Linked DNA regions of Pelodiscus sinensis. The protein of the gene in region 2 interacts with the protein of the main gene of each other region in a biochemical or structural test. Links are inferred from orthologs where the notes say so. Each region holds a gene or a part of one and is shown on either strand. Other genes may lie near its edges. The genes, in order: RAD18, HLTF and UBE2V2.

Region 1 (7,142 bases), on a different chromosome or scaffold from region 2:
AGTTGACTACCCGATAAGCAGAAGCTGGGCCCTGCCACGGACAGGGGCTGCTGCCGCCCAGCCAGAGCAGCCTCTGTTTGCAGCAGACAGGGCTGGCCACCACAAACAGAGGCTGCTGGACTCAGCACAAGCCAGGACAGAGCATCCCCTGCTCATGCTGTTCTGGGACGCTACTCCTCTGCATTTTAAATGTAGTAACAGCCTGGCGGCATTCAGACTGCAACGCAGACCCAAATTAAAGTAATCCTCTCCACCTACGTTCCCTCTAATTTTTCCTATCCCAGAGAAAAATGAATTTTGTTAAGTGCACCCAAGATGAAGGTGATGTGCAATAATACATCGCCTTCATATTGATGCACATAACAAAATTCATGAACTGGGGGGAGGGGCAGAGAAGGAGGCACATGGTTCATAGTGTGAGAAGGGGGTTCAAGCATGGGGCAGATGGCTGGAGTACAACACTGTGATGCAAGGGTGTGAAGGCTCCAATTGGTTAAACTGGTAGTACAGGCTATGGGGTGGGGCCGGGTTTGGAGTGAAGGCTTTCCTCTCAGCAGCACGTGGGCTGGGGGGGAAGAGCACATCTCCGCACTGTGGCAGCTCTGAGGCCAGGCTTCCCCAGGCGCAACAAGGTTGGGGCTGGGATTGGAGCCAGGCAGTCTGGCCCACCCCAAAAAGACCAGAGCAGAGTCAGGGCCTAAGAAGCTAACAGAAGAGATGACAGGATGGAACGAGCGTCAGGCACCAGGAAGGGCTATATTAACACACTCTTAAAAATTCTGCTATACTTACAGTTATGTGAACACTGTGGTATGATCATTGCAATATCAAAGTAATCAAAGCATATCCCACAACGCAACAAATCATCTACTGCCTGAAATAGGAAAAATAAAAGTTAAGGTCATTCTAAGGCACCCATAAAGATCTCTTCCTCAGACTACATATACAATATAGGAAATATCAATATGCTTTCAATCTCAAATTCTTGTCCACCAGTTTCTTAAACCCCATAGATGAAAAACAAAAATCCCTCACATCCCCTGGGAATGAGTGGTACAGTAGTTATATGTCAAGAGCTGCTACTCTAAAAACCAACCCAAATGCAAACTGTCAAATAGCTAAACAGTAGCAACTTGCTGAATACAAAGTCAATAAATAAATGTAAGTCAAAACAGCTTCCAAAATCAATTCTAGTGTATATATTTAATCCTCAGCATCAGTGCTAGAGCTCAAAAGTGTAAAGAGGGAGGACAGGAGGGAAAGGCAATCCTTGCAAAAGACCCTTGCCAGAAGGAGAGCTTTTCTAGTAACTCAATATTAACTGACAGTCCTCCTAACAAAACTCCACCCCCCCCCCCCCCCCCCATCCAACTCACTCCCTAGGAAAGATAAGGGTCTTGTCAAAATAAAAGGGCATGCACTGCCACCTAAAAGCTTTTGGAAATGAGAAATGTAAATTCCACTATAAATATTGCTGCCTCTGTGAGAGACAACACCATGGGGGAGGCAAAACAGCCCCTGTCCAGAGTGGCCTGCGCAGGCCACAGGCAGAGGCTGCTCTGGCAGTAGCCCCTGACCACGGGGGGGGGGGGGCTCCCAGAGGGGAGCCTCTGGTCATAGCCTCTGCCTGGGGCAGCAGACTCCCCTGCCTCTCCCCTAGGGATCCCCCAAAGATAGGGCTGCTGCTGGAGCTGCCTCTGCCTGTGGCCAGTTCAGGCCACCATGGACAGGGGCTGCTCTGGCCAGGCAGGCAGCCCTGCTCAGTCCCAGCTGCTTGTGCCAGGTCTGGGACCTACCCCCTCTGCAGCTCTGCAGTTTAAATGTATTAAGAGCCAGATGGGGAGGCAGCCTGGCTCCTACTACATTTAAACTGCAGAGCCACAGCACAGGTAGCTCCTGGACCCAGTGCAGGCCAGGACTGAGCACCTTCCCTTATTGAATAATCACGCAGTCAATAAAAATTCAATTGACTACACGATTCGCCAATTACCTGCCTCTCAACATCCTTAACTATAAAGCCAGCAGCAATCTTGATACTTTAGACATCCCCACAGTCACTCTGGGGAGTCCCCATGAATCAAAATGCCAGTTCTGACACTTGAACAGCCCTGGGGAACCATTCTTTTGCTTTAGGATTTTAAAGCGCTCTTACTTACGGTCCAAAGTTTATTCCCACCACCACCCCACAGCAAGCACCTGATCTCACTGGTCATCACCCTCTGCTCCCAGGGGGTGCATTCCCCAGCTCCCATTGTGCAGCCTGCCCCCAAAACCCCGGGCACTCCCCAGCTGTCACTGTGCTAACCCCTTCTTAGGCCTCAGGTTCCCCACCGCCAGACCTCACTATGGACTCCCATTCACCCAGGCCTGCACCCTCCCAGCTGTCACTGTGCAACCCCCCCCACTCCCTCAGGCTCCAGGCTCCCCCCCCAACTGTCACTGTGCAGCCCCCACCCACCCCAACTGTCACTGTGCAACCCCCCCCCCCCACTCCCTCAGGCTCCAGGCTCCCCCCCAACTGTCACTGTGCAGCCCCCACCCACCCCAACTGTCACTGTGCAACCCCCCCCCCCACTCCCTCAGGCTCCAGGCTCCCCCCCAACTGTCACTGTGCAGCCCCCACCCCCCCCCAACTGTCACTGTGCAGCCCCCACCCCCCCCCAACTGTCACTGTGCAGTCCCCTGAGGCCGCTCCGCGCGCTCACTGTGCAGCTCCCCCAGGGCGCCGGGCTCTCCCCACTGTCACTGCGCAGCGCCCCCGGGCCTCCCTCGCGCTCCAAGCCGCACAGCGCCGGGAACGGAGGACCGCCCCCCCCCCCACAGACAGAGACTCACTTTGAGCAGGGAGAGGTTCTCCGGCCAGCCCGGCTCGGCCAGCGCCATGGTGCCCGCCACAGGCCGCTTCCAGCCGCGCAAGCGTCCCCGAATCACCCGCGCTCCGCTCCAGACAGCAGCCGGCTCCGCGCACTTCCGGCCCCGCCCCCGGAGGTTGCTGGGAGTTGTAGTTTGTGCCGTGGCTCAGGGCTGCCGGGCCAGGATGGAGCTGGGCGTCACGAGGGAACAAAGGATCGTTCCTTCTTCGCTACGACGCGTCAGCCGCTCCGCCTCCCTCGCGCAGACACATGGTACCGCGGCTGCGTTTCGAATGCAAGGGCCAGCTGTTGCCCTGGGACCTTCCCCTGCTGTCCATGGAGAGATCTCATGCCACCCCCTCACTCCTAATCATCTGATGAAGTGGGTTTTGCTCAGGGGGCTATAGGGTTTGGTTAGTCTCCAAGGTGCCACAGGACCTCTTGTGTCTCCCTACACAGGGTTGCCAGGTGTCCGGTTTTGAATGGGACAGTCCAGTATTTGAGCTTTCTGTTCGGGGAACAAATTGAGAAAATAGAAATGTCCGGTATTTTCTAAATAAGATGTAATGTCAAGTGTGTCTGGTATTTTTGCTGAAACCATCTGGCAACCTTACTACTGAATCTAATATCACACTCCACCTTGTCTAACCAAACGCTCAGGAATCACGTCTGGATACCACAACCACCCATCAAATCATGAGATTGGCATAAATATGACAACATATTATTTAAAAAAAACTTTAAATGTCTTTTTAGTTGCCTCTAAGATTCCTGTTTTTAATCTTTTTCAGAGTCTTGTGGCTGTGAAGAACTAAATTACAAAAAACGAGGCAAGCTAACTTTAATATGATGATTTCAGGAGCAAAGGCCTCAAGAAAGTTCAAATACTGTATTGCAAGACGCGCAATACAGCAGTAAGCACAAGCACCAGTGTAGCCATCTGAGCATGCTATAATGTCATTTATTAGTTTGCCTATAATTTTACCTGGAAAAATCTGGAGATAACCGATTACTTTTAGAGTAATAGAATTTAAGGCTAGACTCAGGATTATCCTGGAGTCTCCAGGAATTAAAGATTAATTTTTAATTAAAGATAATGCTATGTGATGAGATCTCCAGAATTCGTCCAACCAAAGTCGAAACCCCTAAGAAGAGACAACCAGCTCATCTAGTCTGACCTTCAGGCTACCAGCAGCATGCACACATTAAACTGAAATTAGACAAAGGAAACTAGACTATTATATCCCACAGCTAGTAAATAGGAGGGATCATGGTGCACCAGTGTCCAAGGCAACTTCAATGGAAGCGAAATTATCCATACCCACATCCTGTAGAGAAAGGCAAAAATCCCCAGGGTCACTGCCAGTCTGACCCAGAAAGTAAGCCGGTGCACCCCACTGTGCTATTCTGGCAAGAAGGAGATGACCAGCTGGGGCACTCAGCTGCAGGAGGAGGCGCAGCATGCTCTCAACCTGTCTCCAAGAGATCTCCTGCAGGCTTCTGCATTAAGCAGCAGGCAGGTAAGCAGATTAAAGGAGTTGGCTGGGGGCATGCCCACCTGACATTTGTACCGGGATGCTGTTTGCTGTTATTCCCCTTCCTGTCACTGGCAGGAAGCAAGAGGAAAGGGCACAATTTGCTGCATTACCCTCACTTTGGCTGGGCAGGTCAGGGCAGACGTGCTCTGCACTCTCCTCTTGTTCCCTGAGGTGACAAGAAGGAAAAGAGCAAGTAACATCATGGTACAAATCTTTGGAATGGGGAGGGGGTCTTCAATCCCCTTGTCCTCCCTTCACACACACACGCACACACACACACACACACACACACACACACACACACACACACACACACACACACACACACACACACACACACACACACACACACACACACACACACACACACACACACACACCAACCCCCTGGCCAGGGCCCCCTTCTGCCCCTGGCTCCTGCCCCTCCACACACGCAATCAGTTAGCCCCTGAGCATGTGAGCAAAAACCAACCTGCCAAGTACTAAAGAGAGAATGCTCAGAATCCTGGTCCTCCCCACCCAATGCCCCATTTCCAGCCATGGACATGCCTGCTGCTTCAGAGAAAGGAGATGAAAAACAAACCAGAATAAACCGGGAGATCAGTGACTAACATGATGAGAACTTTATAAATACCTAAATGGATTTAGTGTGAGTGTTTCATTGATCCCTTGAGTTTTTAGTTGGATCCTTCTATAAACATTGGGTCTAAATTGTTATTTAATTAATGCACATGTGGTTATTGGCTGGTTGAGTGTGGCTGGTTGGCTTGAACAATGTGACTATTTGGCCATTTGAGTGTTGCTAGTTTGCTTTAGTGGTAACCACTATAAGGGCCACTGCTTCAGAACTTCAGAACTGGTTGGACACCACAGTAGTTGGGGATATGCTGGAAAACATTTTTAAGGCAATAAGTAACTTATTACAAAAGGAATGTTAACTAGTATGAAAGTGGAAAGCCAAAGATTGTCTTTGAGTTTGACATTCCTGGCTTACACAGTTCACAGTTTGCATACCAGATACCTGCTTGCAGTGAAAATAAATAAAAAAGATTATTTAATAGAAAAAAACCCATAGACTCAAAGATGAAAGTAAAAGGAAAGGGAAAACAAAAAGTATGCAAGCTATCAAAAAAACAAAACAAAACACAAACATCAGATGCCAAATAAAAAGATCCCCAAGTATATTTTCATCTGTGATTTCCAGAAGCCAATCTCTCTTTGGGGAGTGAAGAAGGTTGATTCATGAGTTTTGAACTTTTGGAGTTGGCAATACAGTACATGCAAGTTGATAGTGTCTCCCCCTGTGTCCAGGAACCCACACAGAAACCAAGATCCTACAAGACATGAAACTGAGTCCTCAGCCTGATTCTCTCATGTCCTCAGACTGGGATGCCACCTCCTTTCCCTCCCACCCGCACTAACATCCATACCCTCACACTGGGATCCCGCCTGCCCCAACAGCTAACATTTGCATCCTCACACTGACATCCCACCTGGCTCCACACCTCACCAGCATCCACATCCTCATGCTGAGATACCCCATCCTTGGCTGAGGTAACCAAAAGTGAAACCCACTGCTTTGCTGGCTACAAAGGTGCATCAGCTTGTGGGGCTCTCTGGCCACCACGGGTCTCATTGTGGCATAAGCACCCTCTATGGCTGGGACTATGTGGGCACCAGGGGCCTGTGTGCTGCTGAGAGCCATGTGTGCAAGTGAGTCCCTGTGTGCTGCCCACCCTCTCCCTTCCATGCCCATCCAGCAGCCACATGGGCCTGATTAAATAACTTTTAAAAAATATTTTGCAGGCTAGATTGGAGGAGTGCTCAGGCCATAGACTCCAGAATTAGATGATCACAGAGGTCTTTGCTGGCCTTGGGATCTATGAAATAGGAAATAATTATGGTATCTGTTGGGTAGTGGTAATTATGTCAAAACAGAACAGCTTGTCAAATAGAAAACTTCTTCACCAGCGCTGATTACGCTTGCTGAGGCTCCTGCTGTCGCCCAGCCATCTTCCTGTAGTTTAGTACAAGATGATTTATGAAGTTTGTTGTTGGGTATATTCTGAGTGGAAGCTAGTGGTACAGGATCACATTCACTTCCACTCAAACTATACCCAAAGAACATCATAATTCAGGAGTGGGGAACCTTTTTTGGGTCGGGGGCCGCTGACCCACAGAAAAATCAGTCAGGGACCACACAAGTGAGAAGGAAAGTGAGAGGCCCCAACTGAGATTGAGAAACTCCCCACATTCCCCTTGCACACCAGAGCTTAGGGGGCCCAGGCTAGTAGATTTTGCGTGTTCCAGCTCTGTGGGTGAGGGGGCTGGAGCACTAACGCAGTCTCCCCAATGATGAACCGGGGCTGACGTTCCCTATCCCTGTCATATATCATCTTGTACTTACTGGAGATCCATAGAAGGCATTTCCTTTGCAGTTGCTCCTGCATAGTCCCCCTGTAATGGTACCACTAAGGAGAAAATTTTGGTAAGTTTTCCTTCAGTTTGGAATCTGACTTTGCAGTCCTATGGACAAAATGTTCTTTATGTGCTTCATTGCAATAACTTTTATGGACCAGATGCCTGGTCTTAATCATGGGCTATTAAACTTACAAGCATCAACACAATTGTTAGGCTTTTTAAATAGTTCACTATAATTACATTTGTACTAAAGCAGCACATTGCTCACAGAAATGTAATTTATTGGCATAATATTTAGGCTGAAATAAAACAGTGTCCCACTATTTGACTA
Region 2 (7,829 bases):
CTTGAACCCAGTTAAAGTCCTCTTTTAAACCCTGTTATAGTCCTAGCCTTCACAATGTCCTCAGACAAGGAGTTCCACAGGTTGACTGTGCGCTGTGTAAAGAAGAACTTCCTTTTTTTTGTTTTAAACCTGCTGCCCATTAATTTCATTTTGTGGCCCCTAGTTCTTATATTAAGGGAACAAGTAAATAACTTTTTCTTATTCACTTTCTCCATACCACTCATGATTTTATATACCTCTATCATATCCCCCCCTTAGTCTCCTCTTTTCCAAGCTGAAGAGTCTTAGTCTCTTTAATCTCTCCTCATATGGGACCCGTTCCAAACCCCTAATCATTTTAGTTGCCCTTCTCTGAACCTTTTCTAATTCCAGTATATCTTTTTGGAGATGAGGAGACCACACCTGTACTTAGTATTCAAGATGTGGGCGTACCATGGATTTATAGAAGGGCAATAAGATATTCTTCATCTTATTCTTTATCCCTATTTTAATGATTCCTAACATCCTGTTTGCTTTTTTGACTGCCGCTGCACACTGCATGGATGTCTTCAGAGAACTATCCACAATGACGCCAAGATCTCTTTCAGTATAATCATGCTTGTTTCAATTATTTTGGTTAATTATATTTAAAACTACAGTACAATGGATGAAAAACAGAACACCGAAGGAACTCCTCAAATCCCCTTTAATAGTAACGTAGCTAGTACTGACACTTTATTGATCAACAAATATATACAGCCATTTGCTCAGTGTTACACCATAGGCAACTGAAGAGCAAGTGAGGGCTGGGCACTCTTACTTACAATTTGAATTGACTACTGGCCATTTCCAGAAAGGTCAGTAGCAAACAGTTCATAGACCACACTCTAATAGGAAATTTTCAGTCCACAAATTTAGACCAGCTCTAATCACTGAAGTACGAGAAGCTTTTATAAGGCCATACTGACACCACTCTGGCAATGTAAAGGAGCCTTAACATTTTTTACACCTTGTATATACTTCTGGGGAAATTCACTAAGAATTAGGGATGTAAGCAAACAGTCAACTAACTGATAAGCCTAGGCTTATCGGTTAAGCTAGTCAACTACTCGACAACTCACATTTGTCCGTCCGTCCCCACTGCCTCTTTATAAGAGGCAGCAAGGGGTGGAGGAAGCAGGAGCCATTACAAAAGCCAGGTCATCACAGCACCATCTCCGTGGTGCCACCTGTACTCCCTCCTGTGCTGCTGCCTCTATCAACTGGGCATGTACAGGGGCTGCTCTGGCCAGGAACCTACCCCCTGCTGTGGCTCTGCATTTTAAATGTAGTAAGAGCTGAGCTGCCTGCATGCCTGGCCTTTAGTACATTTCAACTTCAGAGCTGCAGCAGGGGGTAGGTCCCAGTCCTGGACATGGAGCAAGCCACAACTGAGCGGGGCTGCCTTCCCTTATCAACTAATTGAGTGGTCGATAGTATTTTTATTGACTACTCGATTAGCCAATTAACCGCATCTTAACATCACTAAGAACAATAGGAACAATTCACTAAGAAGGCAGGCTGCTACATTTTGCTCTGCCTGAGGAGCCTGCCCCATACCTACCTCCTCAGAAATATCCCTTATAGCTCACAACCCTGCCTTAATTTGGACATGTTGTGGTAACAAAGAATTAACTAATGTAACATGTCTAACTGACGTGAGATACCAACATTTAGAGAGCACTAAAGCCCAACTAAGGAGATACAACAGAGGTCACAGGATTAGTAAGGGAGTATGAAAAAGACAGTCATCTCACAAAAAGTGAGAACTGGCCGTTCTCTCCCCTTCAACACTAACTGATAACTGTTTCCATAACAATTGGTTGGACCTCTATAGACTGGCAACATATGTGGTCTGACATCCCTGTGGATGTTCCCAGGTTGGAGCACTCATAAGGAAAAGCCAGGGCCCATCCTCAGCAACTCCTCCCCTGTCCTCCCAGAGCACCACAAATAGCTCATTTGCAGGGCTCAATCTCAGGGACAAAGGGGGAGAAGCAGGAACTGGGTGATGCTCAATGGAAGAGGCAGGAGTGCCACCCTATGGGCCTCTGCAGCCACCTGGCCTTTTTCCCCCAAGCGCTCCCTCCATTTGCTTGGTCAATGCCAGTCCATCTGCTGCCATTGGAGTGGAACCCCACAGCAAGCAGCAGCAGAGGAGCCAAAATTGACCTCCTCTGGTCTGGCAGATGCCTTGGTTTGTGATCAGTCAGGTCCTTAAAGTAACACATCAAGAAAGTACAAACCCACCGAAGCCTCCCAGTCCAGAGAGCCAAAAGTCTAATCCACTGCTGGTTTCCAGCCCGCAGATGTGAAATTGCGGTAAGCCAGTTAAATAAAATGCTTAACTGATTAAGTGTAATGCTGCAGGGCACACACGAGATGCAGAGGGGCTGGGGCTGCAGCCGGCCTGGGTCCTGTTTGCCCTTCCTAGGGCCAGGGCTGCCAGGATCCTGCCTGTCTCTGTCTGGTGGGGCTAAGACAGGGCTGCCACAGCTGTTGCCCTGCCCTGATTCCTGCCACCCAACCAGTTTAACCAGTTAACTACCCGGTAAACCTAATGCTTACCTGGTAACCATTTACACTCCTGGCACAGCTCCACTATGCACCCCCCCCACACACACACACACCCCTCATGGCACCCAGTCCCACTCCCTCAGCCCCATTTCCCCAGGGTGCCCAGTCCCCCCCTCGCCTCAGCCCCACCTTCACCCCCCCCCCCCAGCACGGCGTCCAGCCTCACCCCCATTGTTCCCCTCCAGGCTCAAGGCACTCAGCCCCACCGGCCCCCGCGGCCCCAGGACGTCCATTCCCACCCCCTCTCTCCCCAGGCCCAAGGCGCCCGGCCCCTCGGCCTAGCCCGCTCTCCCAGCATCCGGCCTCGCTGGCCCATTGCACAAGGCCCGCCCGCTTTGCCCCCACGGGACCTCACCGCATGTCCATCCAAGCCATGGCGCTGCTGGGGGCCGCCGCACGGCTAAGGGCACAGAACAGATCCTGCAGCGTCCTCCCCCCACAGCCCGCCGTCAGTGCAGCGCTACCAGCCTGATTGACAACAACAACACCAATCTCACCCCGCATGTCACAGGCCCCAGCCAATGAGAACAGGGCTGTGGCAGAGGGGCGGGACTTTCTCCGTGAGTTCTCTGTGCGACCGAAAAGAGCCGCCAAGCCTTCGAGCGGCTGCTTCCTGTGTCCCACCGTCTCCCTTCCACCGCCGCGGCGGCCAGGAGGCTGCACCCACAGCCTGGTTGCCAATTAATTCCCCTTGCCCGACCCCCCGCTACTGACACCTCAGCCCGCGGTGGCCTTCGGGCTCCCTGCACAGCGGGCATAGAAGAGGTCACCTGGAGAAGCAGTGGAGTCTCTGTCACTTGCAGTCTTTAAATCTGGACAGGATGGCTTTCTAAAAGGTCTGCCCCATCGCTGAAACTCAAACAAGTTATGGGTTTGATGCAGAAATTACTGCAAGAGATTGGCCTGCGTAATGCAGGCCAGACTAGATTATAATAATGCCCCCTTCTAGATTTAAAGTCTATTCATTGCATGTCATCACATCTTGATATCACTGGATCAATTTGTGGCATTAGTACCTAACAACTCAATGGTGATTGACTTTTCAAGCCCAGGGCTGCCAGGTGTCCGATTTTCAACTGGAACACTCAGTTGAAAAAGAATTTGGAAGGTTCCAGTCAGCACTGCCAACCTGGCTGTTAAAAGTTCGGTCAGCAGTGCTGCAGAGCGAAGGCGGTTCCTACCTGACCTGGCTCTGTGCTGCACCCTGCAAGCAGGCAGCAGGGGTATGGGACCAGTGCTCAGGGAAGGTGCAGCATGTGGAGCCTTGTGGGTTCCCCCACCTAGGAGCCAAACCTGCTAGCTGTTTACAGGCACAGTGTGATGCAGGATAGTAGGCACGAATGGGTCTGCCACTTAGCATACATGCCCACCCACCGCCCTGCCTCTACTACCACCAGACCATGAGGGCTTGCCCATCTCCACTCAGTGCTCCAGGGCTATATCTACACTGGTGGGTTCTTGTGCAAGAACTCTTGCGCAAGAACACGTCCACACGGCCATGTGCTTTTGCACAAGAGCATCCATGGCAGTGTGGATGCTCTCTTGCGCAAGAAAGCTCTAATGGCCATTTTAGCCATAGGGCTTTCTTGTGCAAGGAGCTCCTGCTGCACATCCACACTGCCATCTTTTGCAAGAGCTCTTGCACAAGAGGGCTTACACTTGTTAGAAAAGAGCGTAGCTCTTGTACAAGAAGCCCTGTCTTCCGACACCGTACTGTAAATCTTCTTGCACAAGAGCAGATGGGCAGTGTGGACGCTTTGTGGGTTCTTGCGCAAGAACGGCCATTCTTATGCAATAATCCACCAGTGTAGACGACAGCCCAGGAGATTAGCCTGCTCCTCCACCTGGCTCTCCCAGCAAGCCTCTGTGCCCTGACCCAGCTTCCCTGCTGGGAGCTCCAGGCAGCGAAGCAGGGCAAGCCCTGGCAATCCATCCATGCTGGGTGGCATAGCAGGGCAAGCCCCTGTGCTCTGACTGTTCCATGCTCAGAGTGCCGGGCAACAGAGCAGGGCAAGCCCCAGAGTTCCAACTCCACTGCTAGCTGGAAGTGCCAGGTGGGCGGATGGGACATACCCATGCCCTGAGTGAGGGGGGAGCAAATGGGAGGATCGCACATTTATATGGGGGCTCCCATTTTTAAGAGGGCCCCTGGTCAGAGCATCTATCCCTTCCCCTCTTCCAAGGCTACTTGAGGGAGGAGGAGAGGCAGCTGCATCATTGCTACTCCCCAGTCATTGCCCACCCACCCAAAGTCTGAGCCCCCCCATCTGGTCTATTCTGGCTAAGACGTTGCTGTAGTGCCAGGACAGGTAGAGTCTAGCCTGCCTTAGCTCCACAGTACCACCAACTGGACTTTCAACAACCTAGTTGGTGGTGCTGACTAAAACCACCAGGATCCCTTTTCAACTCAGTGTTTCAGTTTAAAACCAGTCATCTGGTCACCCTATCCACAGAGCCTCACCCCCAGATAGAACCCTCATGCCCCGCAGTGCCTCACCCCCTTACCCCAGCTCTGAGCCCACCAGCCAGGAGTGAGAGGCATGCAAAGAATGCAAGCACTTTCCCCGCACTCCCTGAGACACCTGGGGAACGGGATCAAAAACAAGCCGCATCACAGAGTGCATGGCTGTTGTCCTCTCCCCTCCCCACACTCCATCCTGCCACAATTCCACCCTTGTGAGGCAACTGCAAAACCCAGTGGAGCTGCTTCTAGCCCTCAGTGCTTTGGAGTTGCAGCTTCAGCCCGGGCAGGGGCCTTGCAGAGCCCAACTAGGGCACTGCAGGGCAGGGCGTGCTTGGGCTTCGCAGGTGCACTTTGTGTGTTGCCGCTTTCTCTCCCCTTGCCCTACCTGCCCTGGTGTGGGAACAGCAGCACAGTGACACGCTGTCCAGAAGCTTTCCTCACAAGGGGACGCAAAGCTAGGTAAGAGTTCCTCCTCATGCCCAGACCCCCCACACCTCAATCCCATCACTCAGTCCCCTCCCCAACCAAAACCCTGCACCCCCAGCTTGTGCTGACACCCTCCCTCCCAGCAATCTTGACTCCTGTGCCCGGAGCTCTGCACTCTGCACAACACTGCTGCCAGGGACTGTCCCCAGCAGCTCCACTGCATCCCAGGACTCCTGCGCACTGCCATTGGCTCCATTTTGCAGTTTGCAGCCAACGGGAGCCCTAGGAAGCAGTGTGGGCTGGGCTGCTGCTTCCCGCAGCTCACCTGGGCTCAAAACAGCGAAATGGAGCCAATAGGAACAGCGAGGCTCCATGGCCACAGCGCCAGTAAATAAACAAACCGGCGAGGGCAGTTAATAGGTTTCTCAAAGTGGTTTCGTGGACCACTTTGAGAAAACATTGAGCTAGAGGGGAGGCTGTTACAGATATGATTTTGACAAAAAGGGAAGAATTGTTTGAGAATCTGAATGTAGGAAGTACCTTGGGTGAAAGTGATCATCAAATGATGAATTCATGATTATAAGAAACTAGAAGATTTCAGGCATTGCTCGGGTCCATAGCAGCTTGGAGTCAGGTGAGAAGCACTTCTCCATGGTTGCTGCAGCTCCAGGAGGCATAGCCAGGGAAGGGGTTCATGTCCCCTGGCTGGGGCAGGTCCAGATTTGTCTGTTCACTACACTCCCCAGATTGAGGAATGGAGCAAACTGTGTATTTTCCCCTCACTCCCTGATAGAAGAGGAACAGCCAGCATGTTCCCATGCAAATGGGGGGTGGAGCTGCAGCTCCCCCCACCCTCGCTAAAGGGTACCTGAGGGATGGGAGGCCCGGGCCTAGGACAGTCCTGGCCGTGGGACACACCCCAACCAGCTCCTTTCATCAGCCTGGTGATTTCTATATTGTTGTATGTATCCCTTTTTGCATGGCGGGGGGGAAGGGGAGGAGGGAGCTTCAGCCTGCCCCATCCCAGTGCAAAACCAAACCTTTATCTTGCTTTAAGTTATGATTCACTTTCTTTTATTCCAAATTTGGTGGTCCTATCTCTTACCATTTAGGAGGAGTTCTTGAACAAACAGCTGGACAGACTTACTCACAAGTTCTCAAATATATAGTAGATGATAGGGAAAACAGGAGAATAAAAATAGTGGAAATCATGCTTCACCAATCTTTTAGAAGTCTTTGAGGGGCTCAACAAGCGAACAAAGAAGATCCAGTTGATACTGTGTACTTGGACTTTCTGAAAGCCTTTCACTAGGTCCCACACCAAAGCCTCTTGAGCAAAGTAAATACTCATGGATTACGAGATGAGAGTCTAGTGATGGGTTAAAAGGAAGCAAAGGTTAGGAAGAAATGGTCAGTTTTCAAAACAGAGAGAGGTGAATTTCTGGGTCCCTCACAGATATGTACTATGACCTATTCTGTTCAGAATATCCATAAGTGATCTGGAAAAGGCGATGGACAAGAGGTGCCAACATTTGCAAACAATACAAAATTATTCAAGACAGTTAAGATCAAAACTGACTACAAAGAAGTATAAAGGAATTTCACAAAAGTGAGAATTGGGTGACAAAATGTCAGATGAAATTCAACATTGGTAAGTGCAAAGTAACGCACGTTGGAAGATATAATGCCAACTATAAATACAAAAGCGATGAGGAGTCCTGTGGCACCTTATAGACTAACTGAAGTGTAGGAGCATAAGCTTTCGTGGGCAAAGACCCACTTCGTCAGATGCATGTAGTGGAAATTTCCAGAGGCAGGAATAAATATGCAGGCCAGGATCAGGCTGGAGATGACCAGGTGGATCCAATCAAGGAGGATGAGGCCCACTTCTAGCAGCTGATCTGGAGGTGTGAATTCCAAGAGAATAGAAGCTGCTTTTGTAGTTAGCAAGCCATTCACAGTCTTTGTTTAATCCAGAGTTGATTGTGTCAAACTTAAAGATGAACTGTAGCTCAGCAGTTTCTCTTTGAAGTCTGGTCCTGAAGTTTTTTTGCTGCAGGATAGCTACTTTTAGATCTGCAATTGTGTGTCCAGGAAGATTGAAGTGTTCCCCTACAGGTTTTTGTATGTTGCCATTCCTAATATCAGATTTGTGTCCATTGATTCTTTTACGTAGGGACTGTCCAAACAGGACAGTCCCTACGTAAAAGAATCAATGGACACAAATCTGATATTAGGAATGGCAACATACAAAAACCTGTAGGGGAACACTTCAATCTTCCTGGACACACAATTGCAGATCTAAAAGTAGCTATCCTGCAGCAAAAAAACTTCAGGACCAGAC
Region 3 (7,438 bases), on a different chromosome or scaffold from region 2:
GAGAGGCCTGTGTGTTTAACTGAATCCTTAAAAACTAAACTTTACTTCCTGTTGTGTAGTTCTCTGACCCTGCCTGGTTGCCCCTGTGACATTCTATAGCTTGATGGAGCCCCCTATTATCCTCATATTTCTCATCTGCATATAACTGTGATATTTCATATAAAGCATGCCATGTGAGGTATCAGGGGAAAGGTAATAGTTAAATGACATTTAAGAAATTATCTAAATATGTGTCTTTTTAGTGCATACACACTTTTGAGACAGTGTTGTAAACATGCTGGAAGTTGGAGAATCAACCAAATATTAACTCCCCAAAGACAACTGCATTGAGAGCAGCCGATGCCTGGGCGGGGTTTCAAACAATCACCAACAGCCATTGTCTAGCAAGAGAGCTACAATTCAATGACTCACCTGCATGATGCCATGTCAGGGGAATTGCTCAACCATACCTGGAGACGGAGCAATGCCCACGAGACATGTCTGGGCCTGGGCATGCTAGGAAAACTCAGTGGGCCTATGCTTCACCTTTCTTTGGCCCTAACATATACTGAAAGCAACCAGGACACTGGGAAGACTGCAACAGAGGAGGCTGGCCCATGTTTAATGGACAAACTTGTATATTATGGACTGCAATATTCAGTGGAGTGCTTACAGTAGATATTGCTCAATATAATAGGGTTGAAAGTTTATTCTGAATGGTTATATTTTATTTCTTTTGGTATCTAACTCTGATTTTCTGACTATTTTTTGTAATCAATACATTTTTAAGTGTTTATCTTTACCAGTGAGTTTGCATGAAGTGCATGGAGGTAATTGCTTGGTTTTACAAAAGCTAGAGCATTTCCACTTCCCAATGATGAAGTGGTGAACCAACTAATAAATTGAACAGTGCAAGACAGTATATGCCTGAGGTACAAGGCTGGCAGCTGGAAAGACATGGCTGGTGGCTTTCTCTGTGCAATTCATGAGTGACTCAGGGAGCATTCATACAATCTAGCTCAATGCAGGACTCCATATGCTACTGTGCTGAGTGATCAAAGCACCTGGACGGTTAGCTGTTTGTACTTAGCAAAGCATTAGACACAGCGCAGGCTATCCAGCTAGGGAGGCACAGCGGTCCATCTATTCCAGACGGCACCCCAACGATGCCATCATAGTCCCCTTGATTGAAAAGATGGCTGATTTTCAATGGTGCTAGGGAAGTATGGTATAAAAGACTTCAGGATCTCTGGAGACAAGAAAGTATATATGTACAGTTATTAAATAACCAAGTTGTTTTACTATACAAGTATGTACATTTCAATAAGGAAAGTCATTTCTGTAAAGAGACATATACACACATACAAGCTATACAAAATAATCTTATTTGTTAATATGCCAAGAGCTCGAGGAAAAGGCAATGAGTTTATTATTGAGTACACAGCAGAAGTAATACAGTATTCTGATTCAATAACAGGAACTTTTAGTTATTTCTGGAATGAAACAACTGTTTTGAATACAAAAAAGTTGCTAGATGCAAAGATTAACTCACAAACAAAACCAACTTTACTTCCTGTTTATTAAAGGAAACCAGAAGACGTAGAACTCAGAGGCAGGTAGGAGTAAATAGAATCTGGGAACTCTATACTAAAAGTTCTTTTAAAAAAAAAAGTATTTTAAACTAAGACATCACAAAGCATTTTTAGAGAGAGAAAGAAAACACTGTTTTCCCACAGTAAAGTCAATACACAGTTCCTTTAATATACCCATCTATCACACATAGCAGCCTACCCCAATTCAGCCCACATTGGGCAACACAAGCTTTTTCACTGTCAGCAAGGGAAGCACTGCATCACCTGTGGTGAGCTCCCTGAGATACTGAAGGCTGCTCTCCTCCCTTTCTTCAGGATCTGCCATTCACATCCCATTTCCAAAATCATGCTCAGAAAGGAATTTTTCCTCCCCCAAGCTCTACCTAGTACCCTATTCCTCTTCCCCTGCAGAGGAACTGCATCAAACATGGAGGGGGAAGGTGAGGTCCGCCTCACAAGGTTCTGATCTGTGGCCTACCACTCCAGAAACTCAGTGGAAACATTAAGTCGAGTTATCTTGACCCTCATATTACCTTGACTGAGCACTGAAGTCAGTTCATTCAGCTACCCCTGGGATCTTCTCCACCTTTCACTCTGTTAGTTAACTTTGATTCCTTTCCATCCTAAATCCCCTCTAAAATCCTCAGTTGGGTATTACATTAGAACCCAGACTGAGATTCTGCCCTGGGCCGGATATTGCTTCTAATGAAAAATAAGTTAGGTTCTGCTCAGCTACTGAGCTACACGATACCACCTAAGCTAGTGGGAAACGCCATCCCGACGTTCTTCCATTCAGCTCATCACCATTTGCAGTAAGCTAAGAGATGGCATCGATCCCCTTGGTTGTACGAGTCTGTCCACACTGGACACTACGCCGTGTCCCTCCTACCCGGCCCTGCCTTTCAGCCACCCAAGCCGGGCACTGAGCACTAGCGCCTCATCTCCCCCGGGCCCTGCCCCGCCACTACCCTGTATTTCACACCGACAGCGAGTCCGCTCCCTTCCCGCCGTACGGATTCGGGCTCCGCTCCCGGCGGCTCTGCCAGGCACAGACCCCAGCCCCGTGCACCGGGGCCCGCGCAGGTGCCTCCGCCATCCCAACCCGCAGCCCTTTACAAGCGACGCTACCGCCCCCAGCCGAGGCCCTGGGGAGGGGAGCGCTGCCCTTCAGCGCCCTGCGCCGGGGCTGCGCCGGAAGCCCCCAGGCTCTGGCTCGGCCTGGCCCGGCCGCCGCAGCTCGGCCTAGGCACCACCGCCCCTTTGCCGAACGCAGGCGGATACAGACGCCGACCGCTCCCGGAGCGCCCGCGGCCCACCCCGCGGGAACCGGCTTCGCCGCACCCGCCCCAGGCCCAGGCCCACCGCGAGCCCCCCTCACAGACCTGTGGATCCAGCCATCTTGTCCAAACCCCTCCCACCGGCCCGAGCCTGGGCAAATCGCGTCACTTCCGCCTGACGCAGCACGTCACTTCCTAGTAAAAAAAAAAAAAAAAACACAGAGCTTGCAAATCTAGCGACGGAAAGGGAAGCCGGCCCTGAATGCACGATGCGGGGCGAAGATGGAACAAGCGCTTGTGCCAAGAGACTGGGCGCTACCACTCTCACCAGAGAAGGAGGGGGAACCCTGCCTATGAATTGATGTAGGCTCTACGTGGGGGCATTCCCTGTATTGTGGGGGAATCGGGCTCCTGTCAGTCTTTGTTCTGTCCCTGTAGCGAGGCTTTCAGAGCCCCTAAGGCACCATCGTTCGCTGCCGGAACCTAGATGGGTGGTTCCGTCCCCCTTTCCGGGCCGAGTTGGGCTCTCCCGTGCGGCGATTGGAAGGAAAACCCGCGAGGGCCCGCCACGTGACCCATTTGGCGCGGAATTTTCTCGGCGTTCCTTGGCCGGCCGAAGGTGCTGAGGGAAGAAGAGGGGGTCGAGAGCGCGAGACCCCGCGTCCCGTGTCCGCGCGCAGAGGGGGAGCGAGCGGCGGGTGCGGTCCCCTGTGACGTGCGGGTCCCGGGGCGCGGAGCGAGGCTTCCGCTCGCAGGCGGTGGGGGTCGCTCCGCCCCTGCCTCAGTTTCTCTCTCCGCCCGGCAGGGAGCCGCAGCCGCTGGAGCAGCGCCATGTCCTCGCCGGCCTCCACCCCGACTGGCCGCCGCGGCAGCAAGCGCGGGCGGGGCAGCAACCCCCCGACTCGTAAGTGGCCGGCGCAGCAGCCCGCGCTCGGCGCTGAGCGGGTGCCGGGAGGCGCGGGCCGTGCCGGGGCGCGCGGGCGGCCCCTTCCTCGCACTGCGGCGTGGGACGGGCCGGTCCCGGTAGCCCCGCTGCAGTAGCCCCGTGGCTTGGGCACCGCCTGCCCTGGGAGAAGGGGCTTTTCCGGGCGGTGGGAGCCCCCCCTGCGCGGGGGGCAGTAGCTGCCCGCTTAGCGGCGTCTTGCACCTGGGGTTGGGTCTCCCTGCGCCTAGCTACGCTTAGGGGTCCCAGATGGCTTCAACAGAAATACCGGACTCGCTTGACACGACATCAGCACAATCGACATCACATCTTCTGTAGAAAATACCGGACAGCTGGATTTTCTCACTTCTATTTTCTCTATTTGTTTCCCGAACAGAAAGCTCAAATGCTGGACCCTCCGGTTCAAAACCGGACACCTGGCAACCCTAGCTATGCTCAGCAGCCTGTGTGCCTTCCTCGGATCCCTGTCTGTAGTAACTAGGTTCACTTACCTATGAAGTGGATGTAACCCTTCTGCCAGGTAGCATCAGCAAGTGCCGGGGCCAGGTTCAATAGTAGGGATTCCTCTCCATCCATCCAACACAGAACTGGCTTGAGCCTGCACCCAGTAACCTGGCGAATTAACACGACAGCTCTGGGTGCTTCTGAGGGGCAAAGTGCAGCAATGTAAATGTCCCTTTCAAGTAAAAGCGGCAGGGAGTCCTGTAGCACCTTACAGACTAACTGAAGTGTAGGAGCATAAGCTTTCGTGGGCAAAGACCCACTTTGTCAGATGAATGCGTCTGACGAAATGGGTCTTTGCCCACGAAAGCTTATGCTCCTACACTTCAGTTAGTCTATAAGATGCCACAGGACTCCTCGCCGCTTTTGCAGATTCAGACTAACACGGCTACTCCTCTGATACTTGGTCCCTTTCAAGTGTTACCCTTCTCTGCACCCCACTCACAGCTGCTGCCCTTAGTCAGGGCAGACCCATAGCTTAGAGGTGCATCCACAGAGTTCACTTCCCATCCTGAGTGGAGGGGTTAGGAGGAATTTTACTCACTTGGCTGATCATTTGCCAGCCACCAGCCCTGCCTCCATTCATCACTCCTTTCCATCACTGCCTTGCTGGCTGCTCATGGTGCTGTCATCACTCTGCTGGCTGCTCATCATGCCACTGCACTTTGCTGGCCGCTCGTCCTATCTCTCCAACACTGACCTATTAGCTCTCAGTCACCATGCACTTGCTGCTTCTGCCAGCTTGTGGTGGGTTTGGCTCTGCGCCAAGTCTAGTGATTGCAACTCTTGGCCCAAAGCACAGTCCAGCCATAAAAAATGCCATCATCCACTAGAGTAAATTAAAGAGATGATTTCTGGGGCCTATTTTAGCTCTATCATTGAAACAGGAGTGGGGGGGGAGGAGGAGAAACAAGTTGAACCAGTTTTAACCCTCATGCCTGGAGAGCATGTAGATTACTGATAGGGAGTCCTGCCCTCCCCAACTTTATCTCACAGCCTCTGTCCATCCATTTGTCTTTAAACTGATGGAGTCGCTCTCCTTTTGAACTGGGTTAAACAGTCTGACTTTTCTGCCTTCCCACAATAATTGCAAGCCTAGGTGATCATATTTCACAATTCCTGCATTTACTGTTAATGCAATTTGGGATCCCACAACAACCAAATTGGTTACAATGGGCAATCGTTGCAGCAGTTGAATATCTAAGCAAACAGAAGCAATTTGTATTTACATAGACACACTCAGGGTTTCCCTCCTATTCCAGCTGCCTATAATAAGCAGGAATTCTTCCATATGTAGGTTTAGCCTGGCTGATGCCCAAGAAAAGATGGAGTTTAGCTCTTATGTTTGCTCTGCAAAGCAAATGTCTTGAGAAGAATGTTACATGCAGTTTTTCATCATTAAAACAAGAGTTCAAAAATCTGGACATGCGGGAAGCAAGAAGTTACCGGTTTTAGGCCACTTAAGCAAGGTGACTTAAGGAACATTACTCTTTGTCAGTTGTGGGCTGAACTTGTTTTTTTCTGAAAGGCCTTGTCCACACTACAAGGCTTTGCCAGCACAGCTGTAGGGGCAGAGGAGTGTTCAGCGCATGTAATGTCATTCCTGAGCTCAGCCCACTGTGGGTCTTTTCCATTTTTGTGACATTCTTCTGTCAGCATAACTGTGGCTACAACTTTGGGCTTTCCTGGTATAGCCTGTATCAACTTAAGGCAGGAGTGGGCAATAAGTGGTTAGTCCCTATCAGGCCACTGGACACTTTATTTTTCTGAGCAGCCATATGTACCACTTGCAGCTCCTGTAGGCCATCATTCATTGGGTTACTGATTCCTACAGCTTCCGTTGTCTGGTATTGGTGAATCACAGCTGACAAAAGTTGCAAGGTACCGTACCTGTGAATGCTCAGATAAAGTGATTGGTGGCCTGCCAGGGACTACCCCTTATGAATCATGACTGGCCTGCTTATTTTCCACTCCTGAGTTAGGGGAATGTTTTTTTCACATACATGACAGACATAACAATATTGACAAAACTTTGAGCTATAGACCTGACCCTAATCTTCAACGATGCATTAATGGAAGAGGATGTTGTTTAAAAGTTTTTTAAAAGCGAAATACAGGCAAGTTTACAAATAGGGTACATGAAATGCTGCACTTGAAATCTTTGATACTCATTAGTATGTAGGTTGGGTCCTCTTCTCTGTGCCTCAGTTTCCCCACTAGAAAATAGGGATGCAAGCAGTCCTCAGACTCTCAATGCTATTTTCAGACATCAATTGTATCATAAATTGAAATCTCATAACTCAGAACTGCAATCTGCTCCATTATGAGGCCGAGAGTCATAAAGTCGAAATTAGAGTGTAGATTCAGAAACATTGTAGATGCCATTCGTCAGAAGTTGAACATCATAAAGTCAAGGACTGCCTGTAATGATCCTGTTTTCAAAGCACTTTTTAAAAACACTATATGATGGAAAAACACGATATGAGCTAGGTTTTCATAGCACTTGTAGCAGGTCTGATATCTTAAGCATTTAGGAAGATAAATTCAATATCAATTTTAAATTCTTTTAACCACTTTGAAATCTCACAATTACTCTCATATCAGCAAAATTTTACACTTTGCTTTTTAATTTTATATCAACCAATTTTTTTCCATTCTGCCATATGATTTTTTTGTGATTTGATCTGTTCACATTTATCGGTGTAGAACATTGCAACTTAAATCTGAAATAGCTACTTACCAGCTTTCATATTGTTACAGCACGCACTGAAGATGCTCAGTCGCCTCCTTCACAAAAACGTCGAACAGATGACTCCACATCTACAGGAGATCTACAGCCAATGCCAACTTCTCCAGCAGTTGACATGCAAAGCCCAAATGCTCAAAATGTTCTGTTTTCCAGCCCACCACAGTTTCGTGATTCAGGTATGCACAGGTGGTGCAAGTAGAACTCATTTCTTACTGGAACATAAGAAGTGCCATACTGGGTCAGACCAAATGTCTATCCTAAAGTATCTTGTCTTTCCATAGTGGTCAATGACAGATGCCCCAGAGGGAATGTACAGAACACATAATCATCAAGTGATCCATGCCCCGTCAATCAGTTTCTGACAAACAGAGACTAGGGATACCACTCTTGCCCATCC

What was found.
Region 1: the proteins of HLTF (region 2) and RAD18 form a complex in vitro, tested with the Homo sapiens proteins (2 studies listed by BioGRID). The link is inferred for Pelodiscus sinensis from reciprocal best matches to the Homo sapiens genes HLTF and RAD18.
Region 3: the proteins of HLTF (region 2) and UBE2V2 form a complex in vitro, tested with the Homo sapiens proteins (2 studies listed by BioGRID). The link is inferred for Pelodiscus sinensis from reciprocal best matches to the Homo sapiens genes HLTF and UBE2V2.

What each region holds. Positions count from the first base shown.
Region 1 is NC_134721.1:19,120,174-19,127,315, forward strand, and holds the start of RAD18 (E3 ubiquitin-protein ligase RAD18), read right to left. Parts: upstream 3,045-7,142; 5' UTR 2,884-3,044; coding exon 2,836-2,883; intron 875-2,835; coding exon 793-874; intron 1-792. UniProt on the Homo sapiens protein: E3 ubiquitin-protein ligase involved in postreplication repair of UV-damaged DNA. Postreplication repair functions in gap-filling of a daughter strand on replication of damaged DNA.
Region 2 is NC_134720.1:25,562,969-25,570,797, forward strand, and holds the start of HLTF (helicase-like transcription factor), read right to left. Parts: upstream 3,087-7,829; 5' UTR 2,971-3,086; coding exon 2,951-2,970; intron 1-2,950. UniProt on the Homo sapiens protein: Has both helicase and E3 ubiquitin ligase activities. Possesses intrinsic ATP-dependent nucleosome-remodeling activity; This activity may be required for transcriptional activation or repression of specific target promoters.
Region 3 is NC_134712.1:69,649,986-69,657,423, forward strand, and holds the start of UBE2V2 (ubiquitin-conjugating enzyme E2 variant 2), read right to left. Parts: upstream 3,093-7,438; 5' UTR 2,970-3,092; coding exon 2,954-2,969; intron 1-2,953. Other genes in the region: DNA replication licensing factor mcm4, read left to right, coding at 3,680-3,752, 7,053-7,217. UniProt on the Homo sapiens protein: Has no ubiquitin ligase activity on its own. The UBE2V2/UBE2N heterodimer catalyzes the synthesis of non-canonical poly-ubiquitin chains that are linked through 'Lys-63'. This type of poly-ubiquitination does not lead to protein degradation by the proteasome.